Linked DNA regions of Cricetulus griseus. The protein of the gene in region 3 purifies or fractionates together with the protein of the main gene of each other region. This does not show direct contact. Links are inferred from orthologs where the notes say so. Each region holds a gene or a part of one and is shown on either strand. Other genes may lie near its edges.

Region 1 (3,400 bases), on a different chromosome or scaffold from region 3:
ACTCCATCTTGCTACTAAGACTTAGAAGTTATTTTAAAATATAATAAAATAAAATTTTCATTTACTCTAAAAACTCAAAAATACTATAAACTGAGAGGGTACATTCTATTAGTATTGTAACAATATGACAAGAGTCACACCTCATTATGGCTGGGTCATTCAAATTTAAAAGAAAAAAAAAAATCACCTTACTTCTGACATTATCTTTCTAAGTTGTGGCTGCTACAGGCCGTTTATCAAAATATTAACCAAATACTTTAAAAGAAAAAAATCCTGCTACAAAATACAACACCTTCAAGAACCAGAAAATACTGTCTTTGGCTATACTACTAAAAAGGTCACTCATCCAACGAACAGAGCACATTCACTTCAGAGCCCTAGGAACGCAAAGTGTAACAGAATATGCATAGACATCATTATAACTTGTTTTGCCTTTCCCCATTCTATAACCAGCAAGAATGAAATTTACACAAACTTTCTAGATGAGACTCAATAGTACTACAGGAAAAAAAAGAAGAAGAAGAAATCAAAGGCAGAGAATGTGAAGTAAAATTATTACAAAAGTAAGTGGAGACTTGAAGGGACAAATGGTCTTTGTATTTTTTTTTTTTACTTGTTTGCTTGTTTTAAAGCCATACAAGAGCTAATGTCGTAGCCAATAAAAAGCCACAATCTTCACAAATGAAACTAATAGAAAAATAAATCAAATGAAACATTTATTAATAAATGAAGCCTGTTTTATTACTTCAAGTGTTAATGATAAAAAAATTTCAGCACAGCTGTTGCATTTAAAAAAGTGAAACTACATCCTATGTTTCTAGCTCAGTAAGCAGATGGAGCTGATGTCTTTGAATGACATAACAGTTGAGCACTGTACAGCACATCTTATGAAGACCCGTAAATTAAAGAACTACTAGCTTAGTGATTATAAGACCAATATACGTTCATAGTTTCAGCTTCTTCTTTCTTCCTCGACCATCAGGGGCACCATCCATTTTACGTTTCTGTGTCTATAACAAACACAACAATTAGTTCTCATGACAAGATTCAACTAATATGGACATTAAATACATTTCCATACATGTTGCAGCACATTAGTGTAACAAACATGACCCGACAGTACACGACTTTTCTTCAGGGCTCCACAACCAATCTTTCAAACCACTATCAAATCTCCAAATATTTTACCATTATTAGTAACAAGATACCTGCTTCCTCCTGAATACATTCAAATTGTGAACACATTACTAAGACAGTGAATCAAAGCTCAGAAGACAACCATTGCACTTGTAAAGCTTTTGTTTTCCTAATATTCCTCAGTCTCCTAAACTAAGGAGAAGGTGTACTCTTGGCAATCAGAAAACATGTTTTTCCATATGTAGTGCATCAAATTCAGTTTCTATTTCCAGGTGACTCAATGTATTTATTACTCACAAAGAAAAAAGACAAACCTAACACAAGAAGTGCTGACAGTGCTCAAATACTTCACAGGGTAGTAGTGGTGGGTTTTCTGGAGAGATGGCTAGTGGGTAAACTGCTTGTTATGAAAGCATGTGGACCTGAGTTCTTAGCCACAAACCCCAGTGAAACCCAGACAACCCCATCAGATGAGGGTATGGGGGCTGGGGGCTGAGGAGCATAGAACAGATAGTCTAACCAAGATGGCAAGCTCCATCTTGTCTCAAAGAATAAGGTGGCACGTGATTGTCAACCTCTGCCTCACAAACTACTACCACACACACACATATTTGCATAACACACACACACACACACACACACCTACCTACCTACCTGCATCATTCACACAATCTATGTTTTATATTTTCATGAATACTTACTGAAGGCTTTGGTCCTCTTTTCTTTTTCTCTGCCTTCTCCTTTTCTTCTAGTTCCATATTTTCTCTTTCAATCAAAGTAATTAAGGTATTGCACCTCCTCTGGAGCTCCTAAATTGTAAACATACACAGTAAATTTGTTATTTCAAACTACATTTTTTTAAAAAGATTTTATTATGTATATAACATTCTGCTTCCATGTATATCTGCACACCAGAAGAGGGCACCAGGTCTCATTACAGATGTTTGTGAGCCACCATGTGGTTGCTGGGAGCTGGGAATTGAACTCAGGACCTCTGGAAGAGCAGCCAGTGCTCTTAACCTCTGAGCCATCTCTCCAGCCCCCAAACTACATATTGTCAGGACTTCAATGTCTAAATAGAGATGTTTTAACAAATATAAAAATCACCCATACAGGACCGGGCATTGGTGGCACATGCCTTTAATCCCAGTACTAGGGAGGCAGAGGCAGGTGGATCTCTGTGAGTTCGAGGCCACCCTGGTCTCCAGGGCGAGTGCCAGGATAGGTTCCAAAGCTACAGAGAAACCCTGTCTCGAAAAACCAAAAAAAAAAAAAAAAAAACAAAACAAAAAAAAAAAAAACACCCATATATTCTAATAGACTAATAAAAACAAGCAAAACGAAATTATTTTTTACTCACAGACCATGCTATGAGGATACAAAGAGCAAATATTTAGTGTTTATACTTGATTCTTTAAAGCTGCACTAACATATGGCTGGGGATGTAGCTCAGTGTATCTGCCAATAGACAGGTAAATAGTAAAGCTCCATACTAATGTATACTCTCCACACACCATTAATCTATTGATCATTTAGGTACTAACACAGTGACAATGAACATCAACATATACAAAAACTACTCAAAGCTCAGGAACTCTGGACTACTTATATTTAAAGGTTAACATACAGAATTCAAAAACAAAAGTACCTAGAACTTAAGAGACGAAAATCAGTCTTTTCTTTAAAAGCATTAGCATCTTAGTTGATAGCAGTGATACACACACAGCTATGAAGTTCATAATGAGTTTTGTCTACCTCCTTTCTCTACCAATCTATGTACTACTCAGTGAGGTAAAATCCATTTGCATCACTGTTTGCTAGCAGCTCATTTCCTTACAGAACAAACATGGTTTGTTTGTTTGTTTAGTCTCTTATATGTAAGTAAAACTTCTACACAGACAACCACAGTACAAATAATTCTGAATGTCAGATGGTGCTGGCATGCCTTTAATCCCAGCACTCAGGAGGCAGAGGCAGGTGGATGGATCTCTTTGAGTTCCAGGCCAGCCTGGTCTACCAGGACAGCTAAGGCTAGACAAAGAAACCCTGTATTGAAAAACAAAGTAATAATAATACTTCTAAACTACTTGGTAGGAACTCCATCCATGGCTTAGTATTACTTCCAACAACAGAGGTAGAAGGCAATAACAAAGTTGTGTTTCCTTTAAACAGTAAGTACCATGCAGCACATCGACCACTCTGCTTGCTGCACACAGTTTTTGATAGGTGCACTACAGCACACACTGATGCACACTGAATCCTT
Region 2 (3,807 bases), on a different chromosome or scaffold from region 3:
AATCATCTGTCAAATACAAAAATAGCAGTGATGCTCAACCCCATGGATGAAAGATTTCAGTTATGGAGTTCTGCCATTTCTTCCTGGTGTCCTGGATACATCTTGTTTTAGTAGTCTTTACTATGTCATTTGGTATTGCTTCCATTCCCTTGGGTGTGCAAAGCTGGACTATCAAATGAGTTAGAATTGGGTAGAGCAGTTAGTGAACTGATTGTGACAGCTCACATGCTGCATTTTTTTTCTTGCCATCTGGTTCTTGAAAAATTAAAAAAAAATGTTGTGGATAGTAATGCCAATGAAGTGATTACCCATATCTCTTAATAGTATTGCTCAAGATGAGGGATTCAATTAACGCGTGATTAGACTTTTAAGCACATAATGAATAAAATGTTCTTCTGAGATGTTATCTTCTGAAAGTAAAGTTTATTTCCTACACACACACAACACACACACACACACACACACACACACACACACACATATATAACTTCATCATATATATTTCATCATATATATTTGATGAAGTAGTTGTTTTAAAACTTGGAAACTTCATCTCATTAGCCTTTTAAGGTAAAAGTTTGAATTTTTAAAAAGATTTATTTATTCATATATTTTATGTATTTTAATATCTAAGATTTTGTTGCTCTGAAAATGAGACTTACAGTATACGTGATTTTTTTGGTTGTTTTTGTTTTCTTGAAACAGGGTCTCTCTACATAGCTCTGGCTGTCCTGGAACTTCCTCTGTAGAGCAGGCTGGCCTCGAATTCACAGAGATCCCCTTGTCTCTGCTTCCTGAGTCTTGGGATTAAAGGCATACACCTTGACTCCTGGCATACATATGTGACATATTGAAAGTATGACCTTCAGTTTCCATTCCAACCCATCCAGAATTACATCAAAAACATCTCATATAGTTGATCGATACACATGAGATGCTGTAGATCAACATAGTTGTTATGTGACCAGGGCTCCAAATAGACTCTAACCAAGGTCATGTTCGAAAATCTTTCTTTGAATTTTCTAAAAATAAACCTTTAGGCAAATGTTGGAAGACAGTCATTAATTATTGGAGGCATTTTGTTTTCTTGTTTAATGTCACATTCTGGTGCTGAATTATTATAGGAGATTTCAAAGACAGGTTGACAAAAGCTGTAATAAAACTGACCTCATTTCTTTTGTTTTCACAAAAAAGATTTGTGCTTTAATTTCTGCAAAGTGTGTGTTCAAATTCAAATATTTTTGGTATCGATCTTAATGAATAGATTCTTTTGTTATTTTATCTCTTGATTTATTCCAGAGAAGGGTATTTATTCTATGTTTTCACATAAGATATTGACCCTGTATTGACAGATTATTGCTAATTGATGCTAGTGTTCACTAAATTACAGTTTTAAAAATACCAACAGTTAATAGTGAATAGCTCCAATGAATCACTTGTGTAAAAGGTTTTGTAACATGAATAAAATAGTTTTCTTTCTAGAGGAAATAAAGTGACCAGTTTGAAGCTGTATCATTGGATTATTTTAAGTGTATGAGATCATGTCGCACTGTATAAAAATGTACAAGCTTTAATTAGTCTAGGAAAACAAATTTCAAAAGTGTTGCTTCAGGAACAGAAGCCAGAGTCTTTTATTCTGAAAGTCTGGCTGGTTTCCAGTACATAAAGAAGTGTTTGGGAGGGTTATTATTTACATTTCTTGAATTCTTTGGTTTGTGGCTGAGCATTAGCCTGTTCAGGATTTCTAAGCCTGCTATTTTATGGTTACACATTTCTTCGGCTTTAATTAAAAAAAATAGACAAAAAGGCTTAGTGTTTTATTTTGGGTTTTATTCTAATGAATGCCATCTCTCTGATATTTCAGGTTTTTTTTTTTTAAATTGGACCTCAGGTGCACAGAACTGGATTAATCATAAGCCCTGCTTCATATCTCACTCTCATCATTGTTCCATTCATGGCCCTCAGTGATTTATTTATCAAGTTATTTAATTACTTTTGGCTTTCTTTAAGGGAGAACATTGACCAGCTTAAAGACCTTGCTTTGCAATTGACTGATATTTATTTCCTTTGACATTCTAGAAAAGCACTTCTCCATTGCAACTAAAACTTGCTGCTAAACCTTCCAAATCTGAAAAGGAAATGGACCCAGAATATGAAGAGAAAATGGTAAATATACCCTTGGTAAGGTAGTGACCATTGTGATTCTCTTTGTTTGTTTGTTCGTTCGTTTGTTTGTTTGTAGCCTGGTCTAGTTATATAATTCCAGGCAGAAATTCTTGAACTTGTGACTCTTCAGCTTTATTGTCCCAATTTATATGATTATTGGTTCCACTTTCCATGCCTTATAGTTAATTTTTATAGAGATATAGAAGATGAAAAAGATTTATCTATGACACATAATCAGATTTCATAGTACAAATGTAATTTAATATATTAAAGTGTCACAAGTGTGTGTATGTATGTATTAATATATGTGTGTGTATGTATCTGTGTGTGTGTGCTCGCATGCGTGCGTGCGTGCGTGCGTGCGTGCGTGCATGTGTGTAGGCCAGAAGTAGATGTCAGGTATCTTCCTCAATTACTGCCCACCTTATTTTTTGATCCTGGTCTTCTTAAATTTCAGTTTTTTCCCTATTCACTCTCCACTTATTTTTCCACTGGCATAATCAAGAGCCAAGAGCTCACAAATTTGGTGAGGCTGAATGGCCAGTGAGCTCTAGCGATTCACCCCCTCCTTCTTGTCAATGCTGGCAACATGGGTGTGTGTTGTTGTACCTAACTTTCTATGTGGGGGCTAGAGATCTGAACTCGGGATATTATATTGTTGTGACAAGCAATTTAACCACTGAGGCAACAATTCCTTTTTATTGAATAAATTAATCTCATTTTCAAAGGAGAAAATTAAGAACCACGGAAACTTTGTGGAATAGTTGAGATGAGAAGCCACATCTCACTTTTTCTCAGTGGTCTTTAACCAATACTGAGATGTTGCAAGGCAAAAACATTCTGTGGACTCAGTGATGAAGGTATCAGTGGCAGTAGTCGTGTGGCTTTGTACCTGTGGGGAATGCAGTCATGATGCCAGATCAGCGTTTCTCCTGACTTTGTATATAAAGGAATGCTATACATTAAGGAAATATGTAGTATGATAATATACCTTTTAAGCATATTAAGGCTTATTTACCTAATGCATGAATGTGTTACTTATTTAAGTCATGTAATCTTTGTCGAGCACCACATATTTCATTATTCTTTGTTTAATTTTCAGTCACCCAGAACTGGACAGGTAGTTGGAACTGATTTTTTTCCCCCCGAAGGAATGTTTTTCCAGTTTAAAAAAAAGTAGGAAGGCAATACATGTTCTAGTTGCTGATAGCTATTTTACAAGAAGAGTCTGTGTTTAAGACCACATCTAAGGAGACAGTTAATGTTTTAACAGTTCTAAAAACAACATTCCAGAGAGGATAACATGAAGTGGAAAAGTTTTGGCCTCCTTCCAGCTCGTCATCTGAATGTATTTTTTCAAAGTCTTGTATCTAAGCTAATGAACGTTCCCGCACGTTTCTGGTGTTGTTATTAATTTTTCACCATTAATCAATTATTCTCTGCCAAATGGTCAGAACGTGACTCTAAATAAAAAAAAAAACCAAGTTCATTTTTTCCTTTGTCTAAGATGAAGTGCAAGTCTTTTGATCTTTTAAAGTTTTGTAGTGAACATGTTTATTTTTTTATTTTTAATTTTTTTCCTATTTTTCTTTTATTGAAATAGATTTTTTACTACATCCTGAATATGGTTTCCCTTCCCCT
Region 3 (4,607 bases):
TTCTGACAAGGTGGGGCGGGAGAGTATGAAACACTGGAAAGAGCCCCTCTAGAAACCCCAGTGGTCTTTGTCAGAAACCCCGGGAATAAGTTCTGCCCCACAGAGCAAAGTAGAGTCTTTGTTGCCCACACCCAGCTCTCCTGGCTCTAGCAGCACAGAAATATTGGCACTGGGAAGCGAGTCTGCCAATATTGGCTGTGTTGCTCCAGGCAGGGTGGTGAGAGCTACTGAGAGGGGCTGGCCCCCGAGGGCTAAGGAAAGGAGAGGGAACAGCAGCTGGCAGCACCATGCTAAGAGAATTTCTTTATTATAATTTTCTGTATAAAAATGTCCATCAGACGGAGGTCAGAGGGTGCGGGCACATGTTTATCGGGAACAAGATGGACAGCTCCAGTGGCTTTCTGACCCTCTCTCATGCAGTCCTTGCTTAGAGTCCCAGGTGATCCACAGGTCCACGGTGAACAGTGAGGGTCAGAGGTGGAAGGCTCAGCAGGAGAGTAGAGGAGCATCAGCAGAGGTCGAGAGAAGGCCAGAGTCCAGGGTCAGGCTGTCTGGAACAGGAAGTAAAATGGACCGAGATGGACCAAGCAAGGAATATGTTTCCAAGAAAACCCTCACCTCCTCAAACATCGTATTACTAGCTGACCCAACCCCCTGCACTGAGTATCTTCTGTCTGAAGCCCTTGCACGACAAAGGGGCTTCTGCTGGGACCCTCCCCTACCATCCAGGTGAGTATTTCTTCCCCACCCCAGCCAGTGTGGGAGGAGGAGGACTCCTACCCTGGTCAAAGTTGAGTTTCTTGGCTGGAGGAGTTTCTCCTAGCCCTTCAACATCCACCAGGTCACTGTTGGCGTCGGAGTCGTTCAGAGCACTGAGTGTCACATCTGGGAGGGGGCATAGGCTAGGTTCTAGGTTTCCTGACTACTCTCCCTCGTCCCAGTTTCCCAAAGCTTCATGCTCTACACAGCCCTCTGCCCGTTTTGGAATGACACCTGAGCACACAAATCATCTGTCCTTTGACCCAGGCCCAATTCTCTCATTCAATCTCAGATAGGACCTTTAACCCCTACCCTAGGCAGCAACTCCACAGCCCTCACCAGCCTTCTGTTTCTTTAGGGGAGGACCCCCAGCTTCAGGGACACTGGAGCTGCTGGGTGGAGGGGCAGTTGGAGGGGAGAGGACCCCAGATGTCATCTTCTTGGGCCCTTTCTTAGGTGACTCAGTTGGAAGAGGGACGCCAGAGTCTTCATATACTTTTCGCTTTACAGTGGTCTTTATCTGAGCCCTGAAGATAAGAGAAAGCAGATTAGGGAGATTGTCACCAGAGAAGCTGAGGGAAGAGGGAAGGGGGGGGAATAATGGGCCACTCTGAAGGACTCCTAGTTCCTTCACAAATATCCAGATCAAGGCCCTAATCCATGTGAAATAAGGATTCCCCTACCCTTAGCAGCTTTGTACCCACTTAGGGCTGATGGGTTATGGAGACTGGAGCCCCTGAACAGAGCAACCAGAAAGGTCCTTTTCATGAACCTTAGGAGAGATGTCTGGATGTGTAAGGCCACCAGGTATGTATTGGTGATATAAAGGCAAACTGAGACTTTTTCACAGATGCTGGCAGCTAACTAGTTCAGAATGCATCCCCAGAAATGCTAGTCTCAAAGGATTTATATAGATAGCTATGGAACCCTCATCATCAAGCACACCCATTGAGTAACTGGGCACCTGAAAATAAAATTCTCTGAAGGTCCTAATTACCATCGCATTTCCTGAACTTCCGACCAACTGCCACAGTTATTATATTCTTTCAGCCTTCAAGGAAATGCTAACACAACTAGCAACAAAGTAGGAATGATGCTGAGCTGAGGGGATTCTGAGGAAGAACAATGGGTAAGGAGAAGAAAGTTGCCCACCCCTCCCCTTTCTCTGCCAGCCACCCTCCCTCACACTGTCCGTTCCTTGATGACACAGCTGATGTGATTAAGATCGTCCCCAAATCGCTTCACAGCAGCCCTCAGCATCTCTATCTCCGTCTCCGTCCACTTGGCACTGTCGGAAGGGGAGAAGGGTGATAGCAAAAATGGAAGGAGGAGTGTGTGGGGCCAGCCCACAGGCTATTCCGTCCACAGTCAAGCAGCCTCTTCCCTCTAGTCTCTAGGGCACCTTTCAAAGATTCGGAGAGAGGATCTCCTTAAGAAAGGCCCTGGGGACAAACCGCTAGCCACATGAAATTGCATCCAGAGCCACTTGAAAACATCTCTCTTCATCATGTAACAGCTGCTATAAACAACCCACGGAAACCAATGCAACAAGTAGGGGCCTTTCAAACAGAACCCTTCAAGGATGTGTAGCAGCAGTCTGAGTTGGGGTGGGTGGGAGACAGTATGTCGGTTTGCAGCGGGGGATTGTGGACCTGGTAGCCTCTTCACCTGTCATTCACTAGTTCAACCATGATTAACAACTACACTACGCTGGGCCAGGCACAGAGGAATTAATGTATCTCCCTGCTCTAGAGAGGGTCGTGTCGGTGACTGAATCCAAGCGCCTGCTCCCGGCTTCCAGGTCCTAGGCTGGTCTCACGTACCCGGCAGGGGAAGAGTCCGATACTGGATGCAGCTGCATAGTCAGCTCCCCGAGCTTCGTGAAGGCGGCGCCGGCCGCAGAGAAGATCTCTCCAACCTGGGGGCGGAGCAGCATTACGGGAGGCCGGCAGCGCGCCGTCCCACCCCAGCCTCGGATCCGCCCGCCCCCCGCCCAGCGCGCACCAGCCGGGAACCAGGCAGGGGGCCCACCCTCCCGTGGCCGCCAGGGAGCGCAGTCCGCGAGGGAGGTCGAACCTTGGTGGACGCTGACGTCATGGCCCCGCGCACCTCCTCACGGAGACGCTCCGCCGCTACCACCACGCGAGCTGGAAACCACGGAGAGCCGGGCGGCCGGCCGCTCGGACTCCCGCGCAGGAAGTCCCGCCCTCCTTGCGGCCGATTGGCCGAAACGCAACCTCTCCCCCGTCACTCAGGTCGCCTCGCCATGCGGAGGAAGACGAGATGGAAGACGTCGCCTCACTTCCGGCTGGCTTCATTCCACTTCCGTCGGAGGGTCGGGACTGCTCCTTGAGGCTACGCTCAGTCTTGCTAGCCCAGGCCCGCCCTCTCCCTGAAAACACAGACACCAAGCTTAGGGGAACCGCTTCTTTTTATTGTAGGGCAGGGCGGGGCGGGGCGGGGTCAGCCCCGGTCCCCTCCAGGGGCTGGACAGCAGAATTTGCAGGGCCAGGGATGCGGTCTCGCCAGGGTGACTCGGTCCCAGAGGACGCCAGATGGGTGGGACAGACTGGGGCTGAGGAGTCTTTAAATAGAGGGGCGGGGCGGGGAGGGAGAGCACCGGGCTGCGCTCAGCGCACCATGTATTCCTTTCGCTTATTGAGCCGAACTTGGCAGAAGGAGAAGCCTCCGAGAAGGAGGTAGAGGCCGGCGGCGATGAAACAGTTGTAGCTGACTTGCTCGTACAGGTTGTATATGCTCTGAGGGCCGTTCCTGGAGGGTGGCGAGAAGGCAGGGAAATGTCAGTCGCTCAGAGCATCCAACGTACCTTGCACCAGACACCACACTAAACGCTTTGATTTCTATTCGGCTTCCTGACAACCGTACGGCAGGACTTCTATCATGCGATCTTTTTTTTTTTTTTTTTTTTTTTTGTGGAGGTAGACTAAGGCGCGGGAAGGCAAAATATTGGAAGAGGCCTCGTCTAAGCTGGTGGGCTTGGGGTGGCCACGAAAGTCTGGCTTGCAAGACTGTTCCTAAGCGCGTTTTTAGCGCTGGAGATTGAACCTAGGACCTTGCGTTTTAAGCACGCGTTTGCCACCCAACTGCTTTCTTTTTTTTTTTCCATTCTAGTTTCATTTATTTCATTCTTATCTTTTCTTCTTTCCTACCCGAACTGCTTCATAGAGAGCAGCTCTTCTTGCAGTCCCCCAACCTAGGGCCACAGACGTTCAGCCTTCAGCAGCGTCCCCTACATGATTCTGAGCCTAGACCCTGCTACTTCTCATTTGCACCCAGATTCGCCTAAGTACCCAAGCACTTACTCAAAATCTTTCTCTGTGAAGGGAACGTCCTCAATTAACACAGCAGAGTGGACATTGAAAAATATCCCGAGCATTATCTGGAAGAACAAAGGAATAGGTAGGTTGTCAAATTCTGGCACCTTACCTCTCCCTGGGTCGCTCCCTACGCTCCTCCCATTTCTAGTGTTGGCCCAACACCTGCCCCTTCCTTAGGGCTCGGAGCAGGGTGGTTGTGGCTGGATTCGGACTCAGCCATCTGAATAGGTCGTGAGGTAGGACACTGGGAAGAGTGGCTGGGTACAAGCAAGTACAGTCAACAGCTCTCCAAGGCGCGTCATTATCATGGGACTAGGCGGAAGAGACGAGGGAAACCCAACACTTCACATTTTTTGAAAATGAGGGCCGGTAGAACCCTGGAGAAGCAAGTCCTCAGCTACCATTTTCGGGAGCAAGCACCCTTCTTGCTCGCCTCCATTCCACTCAAGCTTGTCTCAGGGACCTAGCTCTCGTTTACCTTGAGGGGTCGACAAATTTACCGGCGTTGGC
Region 4 (3,807 bases), about 36 Mb from region 3:
GTCATATGTTCAGTTCTCAGCGTGACGCACATGTACACAGGAAGGAAGAAGGAAGAAGCTGTTAGGAAACTGATGAAGAAGGAAGAACTTCCCACTAGACCTTGAGGGCAATGTGTGTTATAACCGTCTACCTAACAGACTGGTTAAATTGAATTTTCATTAAGAGCAAGAATTAAATGGGGATCAGAGTAAAGGCTCATGCACATCCAGCAAGAGTGTAACCACCTTAGTTAAGCCTTTCCTAGCAACCTTGCTGCAGTGTGTGGTGAGGGCGTGCATGCTTGAGGGGTTGGAAAGTGTTCTGTTCCTACTAGTGCCAGTGTGCACTGGTACAAATGCCTACAACAGTACAGGTCATAAGAATTGGTATTTTGGAGCAACCAGATGTCTGTGTGGTGAGGTAACGGTCGGGTTTGGTGATTCCTACAGAATGGAAATGTGGTAACTGCAGCTCTAGAGAAGGGGCTCACAAATAAAGTGTTGGGGTCGGGTATAGCACGAGATCTAGTAGGTCTTAATAATAAAAGCCCAGAGTCACATATGGGCAGAAATGCTGAGAGATCAGAGAGCCGAAGGAGAAAAACCATAGCCACCTTACCTATTCAGCTTCTCAGCTGAAAAGAGACTGAGTTCCTGGCTGCTCCCACCTTATCACTTCCTGTCTCCAACCAGCCTATCACTTCTTGAATGTCTGTATAGAACTCTAGACCTCTATGGTTAACTAGTGGCTAGCTCTGCCCTCTGATCTTCAAGTAAGCTTTATTTGTTAGAATATAAACAAGACATCACTACATTTCCCCATTTTTGTCTAAAATAAAAGGTTGTATCTACTAAAAGAAAAACTATACAGTAAGTACAGTAACTATATACAATAAGTAACAGGCAATGAATACATGAACAATGGCTAGTCTATTAATAATTGACAAATTCAGAGAAATTACTCCATGTCTATCCTTTTTGGTGAGTCCAAAAGGTTGTACCTCATTCACTTTCTATTCTAACTTGCATTACCTATCTCTCAACTATATACACTTTACCTTTCTTTAGTGAATTTCTTTCCTGAATCTGGTAATAGGGAAAATTAGAACTATAAATTCTTCAACTCCATCAGAGACCTGGGAAGGAAATAATATTACCTGAGTAAGCAGGAAGTGCAAGCAAGCAACTTCCAAAAAATGACAGAAATGACAGACACATCTGGCTTCCTGGACAGTCACCCAAGGTTCCTCTACAATGTTGGGGCATCCATCCTTGGCCTACTGGCCTAGCATCTCTGACACACTTATCTGTGAAGCAGGATATTCTGAAGGGCTGTCCTACCTTGTCTTGGTAAAGTCCAGCAGTCCTTTCTTTTATGTCCTGCTTGTCCCATCTGGACAGTGTGCTGTCAGCAGTCAAGGCAAGAGCACTTTCTTTCCCCGTGCTCTTAAGTGCTGAGCCAACATGAATAAAGGTGGGTTAAAGTAAGAATCGGGTGTGATGATGAGTGAAGTCACAGTGAGTTCTGAGTTCTCATGGGGTACTGGAAGGACCCAGACTCTCAAAGTTTAATTCATTAGTTAATTGGTTGATTGAAATAAGAATTTTGATCTGACCATGATAGCTCTAATCTATGCTACCAGAATGTAAGAAGTGATGTTTTCTTCCTTGGTTTCTGGCAGAGTGGGGTATTTTTAAGACAGTCTCACTCATTGCAGGAATCCATAACTGCTCAGGACCTCATTTTACTGATTAATTAAATGGGATCTGGATCAGGTGTGATGTTTGTAACCGGGTGGCTGGCTGCCCATTGGAGAGTTTGGACTGGAACTTTGAGGTGTTGGTATCTTTCCACTGTGCCACACAAGTCCCCTGTCTGTAATTCACCTGAGTTTTCCTGATACCATTGCAGGGAAGGATCTTCATAACGTAAATGGTTCCGTTAGAACCCTTTACAGATTTGTAACCTAAATGCCGTATATTTTATGTTGTCTGCTTTTTTCCACAGGGCGGCAACCAAGGTTTAACAGTAGTAATTCAAGGACAAGGTCAAACTACTGGACAGTTGCAGTTGATACCTCAGGGGATGACCGTCCTTCCAGGGCCAGGGCAACAGCTCATGCAAGCTGCGATGCCCAATGGTACTGTCCAGCGGTTCCTCTTTACCCCACTGTCAACGACGGCCACAACCAGCAGCAGCAGCCCCGCCACTGCTTCTACAGCAGCAGGTAGAAACACTGTCTTGCCACTCGTTGCTGGCCTCTCGAGTAGCAGGGCCCAATGTTCCACCTCCAGCCTGCTTAACAGCTGAACTGCTGACACAGCCAGCCTCTGTGTTTCCATGCCTTGTTCCTAGACTCCCTGTACCCCCCTTTCCTGATTAAAACAAAACAAAATCCTGGTGAAGCCCTGGAGGTGAGCTTAAGGAGGGTGAGTCCACACAGCTCATAACCAGCCTCCTGTAAGCCATCAGTGCCTGTTGCCATGCCATAGCCGAAGCGTGAAGCTTGAGTGCCTCAGAACACCTAGGTGACATACAGGAAGCATGCAGGAAGCATCCCAGCTCCCCAGCCTAGGAGATGGCTACTCTGAGTCCTCCTCGAACCCGAGGCTTCAGGAAATACCCTCATAGTCTTGCATACTAAAGCCAGGGAAATCACTTTGTCTTTTTTTCTTTACAGGTTCGGGGGAACAAAAACAGAGTAAATCGTCACCTCAGACCCAGGTCCAACCAGCCACTACCCTGGCGCCAGCTCAGTCATCAAGTGTGAGTCCTGCAGAAGCCCAGCCACAGACTCCTCAGCCTGCAGCACAGCCCCAGCCCCAGTCCCCAGCTCAGCCTGAAGTCTCGTCCCAAACCCCTTCTGAAGCACAGCCCTCCCAGACACAGTCATCTAAACCCCAGCAACAGTGTCAGCCTCAGAGCAATGTCCAAGGACAGTCTCCTGTTCGTGCCCAGAGCCCATCATTGACTCGAATACGTCCATCAACTCCATCCCAAGTGACTCCTGGACAGCAACCCCAGGTTCAGACTACAAGCTCACAGCCGATTCCAATCCCGCCCCCCACATCTCTGCAGACACCTTCCCAAGGCCAGCCACAGTCACAGCCCCAGGTACAGTCTTCAACTCAAACTCTTTCTCCAGGACAAACATTAAGTCAAGTTACTGTCTCATCCCCATGCTGTCCTCAGCTACAAACACAGCAGCTGCAGCCCCAAGTCATTGCTGTGCCTGAGCTCCAGCAAGTCCAGGTTCTCTCTCAGATCCAGTCACAGGTTGTGGCTCAGATACAGGCTCAGCAAGGTGGTGTGCCCCAGCAAATCAAACTTCAGTTACCCATTCAAGTTCAGCAAAGCAGTGCTGTGCAGACTCAGCATGTTCAGAGTGTGGTCACAGTGCAGGCAGCCAGTTTGCAAGAGCAGTTGCAGAGGGTTCAGCATCTCAGGGAGCAGCAGCAAAAGAAGAAGCAGCAGATAGAGATTGAGCGTGAACACACCCTCCAAGCTTCTGCCCAGAGGGAAGTCATTCAGAAACAGGTAACGACATTAAGTCAAAGCAGCATGTTGGGTAGTGTGAATTACTGTGCTGTGTGGTACACTTAGTGCTTTGGTTGTGGTAGGCTTCCTGACTGAGACATGGTCACTGGTGGATAGCCTCAGAAGACCAGAACACTGCTTGCCCATTTTGGTTTGGGACTCCTTAATGGGCATGTAGCCTTTCCCTGGTAGGAAACCAAGTGGTGAGGCCACCATCAAAATGGAGTGATTCAGTTGAAGTCATCTGATTTGCAAGTGTCATTCCTTCATTTGCCTATCGACTAAGCAAA

The links.
Region 1: the proteins of CUNH17orf49 (region 3) and Smarca5 purify together in Homo sapiens (affinity purification with mass spectrometry; 5 studies listed by BioGRID and IntAct, with this or other methods). This does not show direct contact. The link is inferred for Cricetulus griseus from reciprocal best matches to the Homo sapiens genes BACC1 and SMARCA5.
Region 2: the proteins of CUNH17orf49 (region 3) and Smarca1 purify together in Homo sapiens (affinity purification with mass spectrometry; 4 studies listed by BioGRID and IntAct, with this or other methods). This does not show direct contact. The link is inferred for Cricetulus griseus from reciprocal best matches to the Homo sapiens genes BACC1 and SMARCA1.
Region 4: the proteins of CUNH17orf49 (region 3) and Bptf purify together in Homo sapiens (affinity purification with mass spectrometry; 5 studies listed by BioGRID and IntAct, with this or other methods). This does not show direct contact. The link is inferred for Cricetulus griseus from reciprocal best matches to the Homo sapiens genes BACC1 and BPTF.

The regions. Positions count from the first base shown.
Region 1 is NC_048596.1:156,477,091-156,480,490, forward strand, and holds the end of Smarca5 (SWI/SNF-related matrix-associated actin-dependent regulator of chromatin subfamily A member 5), read right to left. Parts: intron 1,947-3,400; coding exon 1,839-1,946; intron 1,011-1,838; coding exon 945-1,010; 3' UTR 699-944; downstream 1-698. UniProt on the Homo sapiens protein: ATPase that possesses intrinsic ATP-dependent nucleosome-remodeling activity.
Region 2 is NC_048604.1:21,560,642-21,564,448, forward strand, and holds part of Smarca1 (probable global transcription activator SNF2L1), read left to right. Parts: intron 1-2,079; coding exon 2,080-2,181; intron 2,182-3,807.
Region 3 is NC_048600.1:84,059,850-84,064,456, forward strand, and holds CUNH17orf49 (chromatin complexes subunit BAP18), read right to left. Parts: upstream 2,968-4,607; 5' UTR 2,857-2,967; coding exon 2,836-2,856; exon of another isoform or gene 2,678-2,835; coding exon 2,583-2,677; exon of another isoform or gene 2,048-2,582; coding exon 1,946-2,047; exon of another isoform or gene 1,810-1,945; intron 1,287-1,809; coding exon 1,099-1,286; coding exon of another isoform or gene 1,073-1,098; exon of another isoform or gene 1,072-1,072; intron 886-1,071; coding exon 781-885; intron 730-780; exon of another isoform or gene 552-729; coding exon 487-551; 3' UTR 289-486; downstream 1-288. UniProt on the Homo sapiens protein: Component of chromatin complexes such as the MLL1/MLL and NURF complexes.
Region 4 is NC_048600.1:119,996,745-120,000,551, reverse strand, and holds part of Bptf (nucleosome-remodeling factor subunit BPTF), read left to right. Parts: intron 1-1,987; coding exon 1,988-2,207; intron 2,208-2,660; coding exon 2,661-3,517; intron 3,518-3,807. UniProt on the Homo sapiens protein: Regulatory subunit of the ATP-dependent NURF-1 and NURF-5 ISWI chromatin remodeling complexes, which form ordered nucleosome arrays on chromatin and facilitate access to DNA during DNA-templated processes such as DNA replication, transcription, and repair.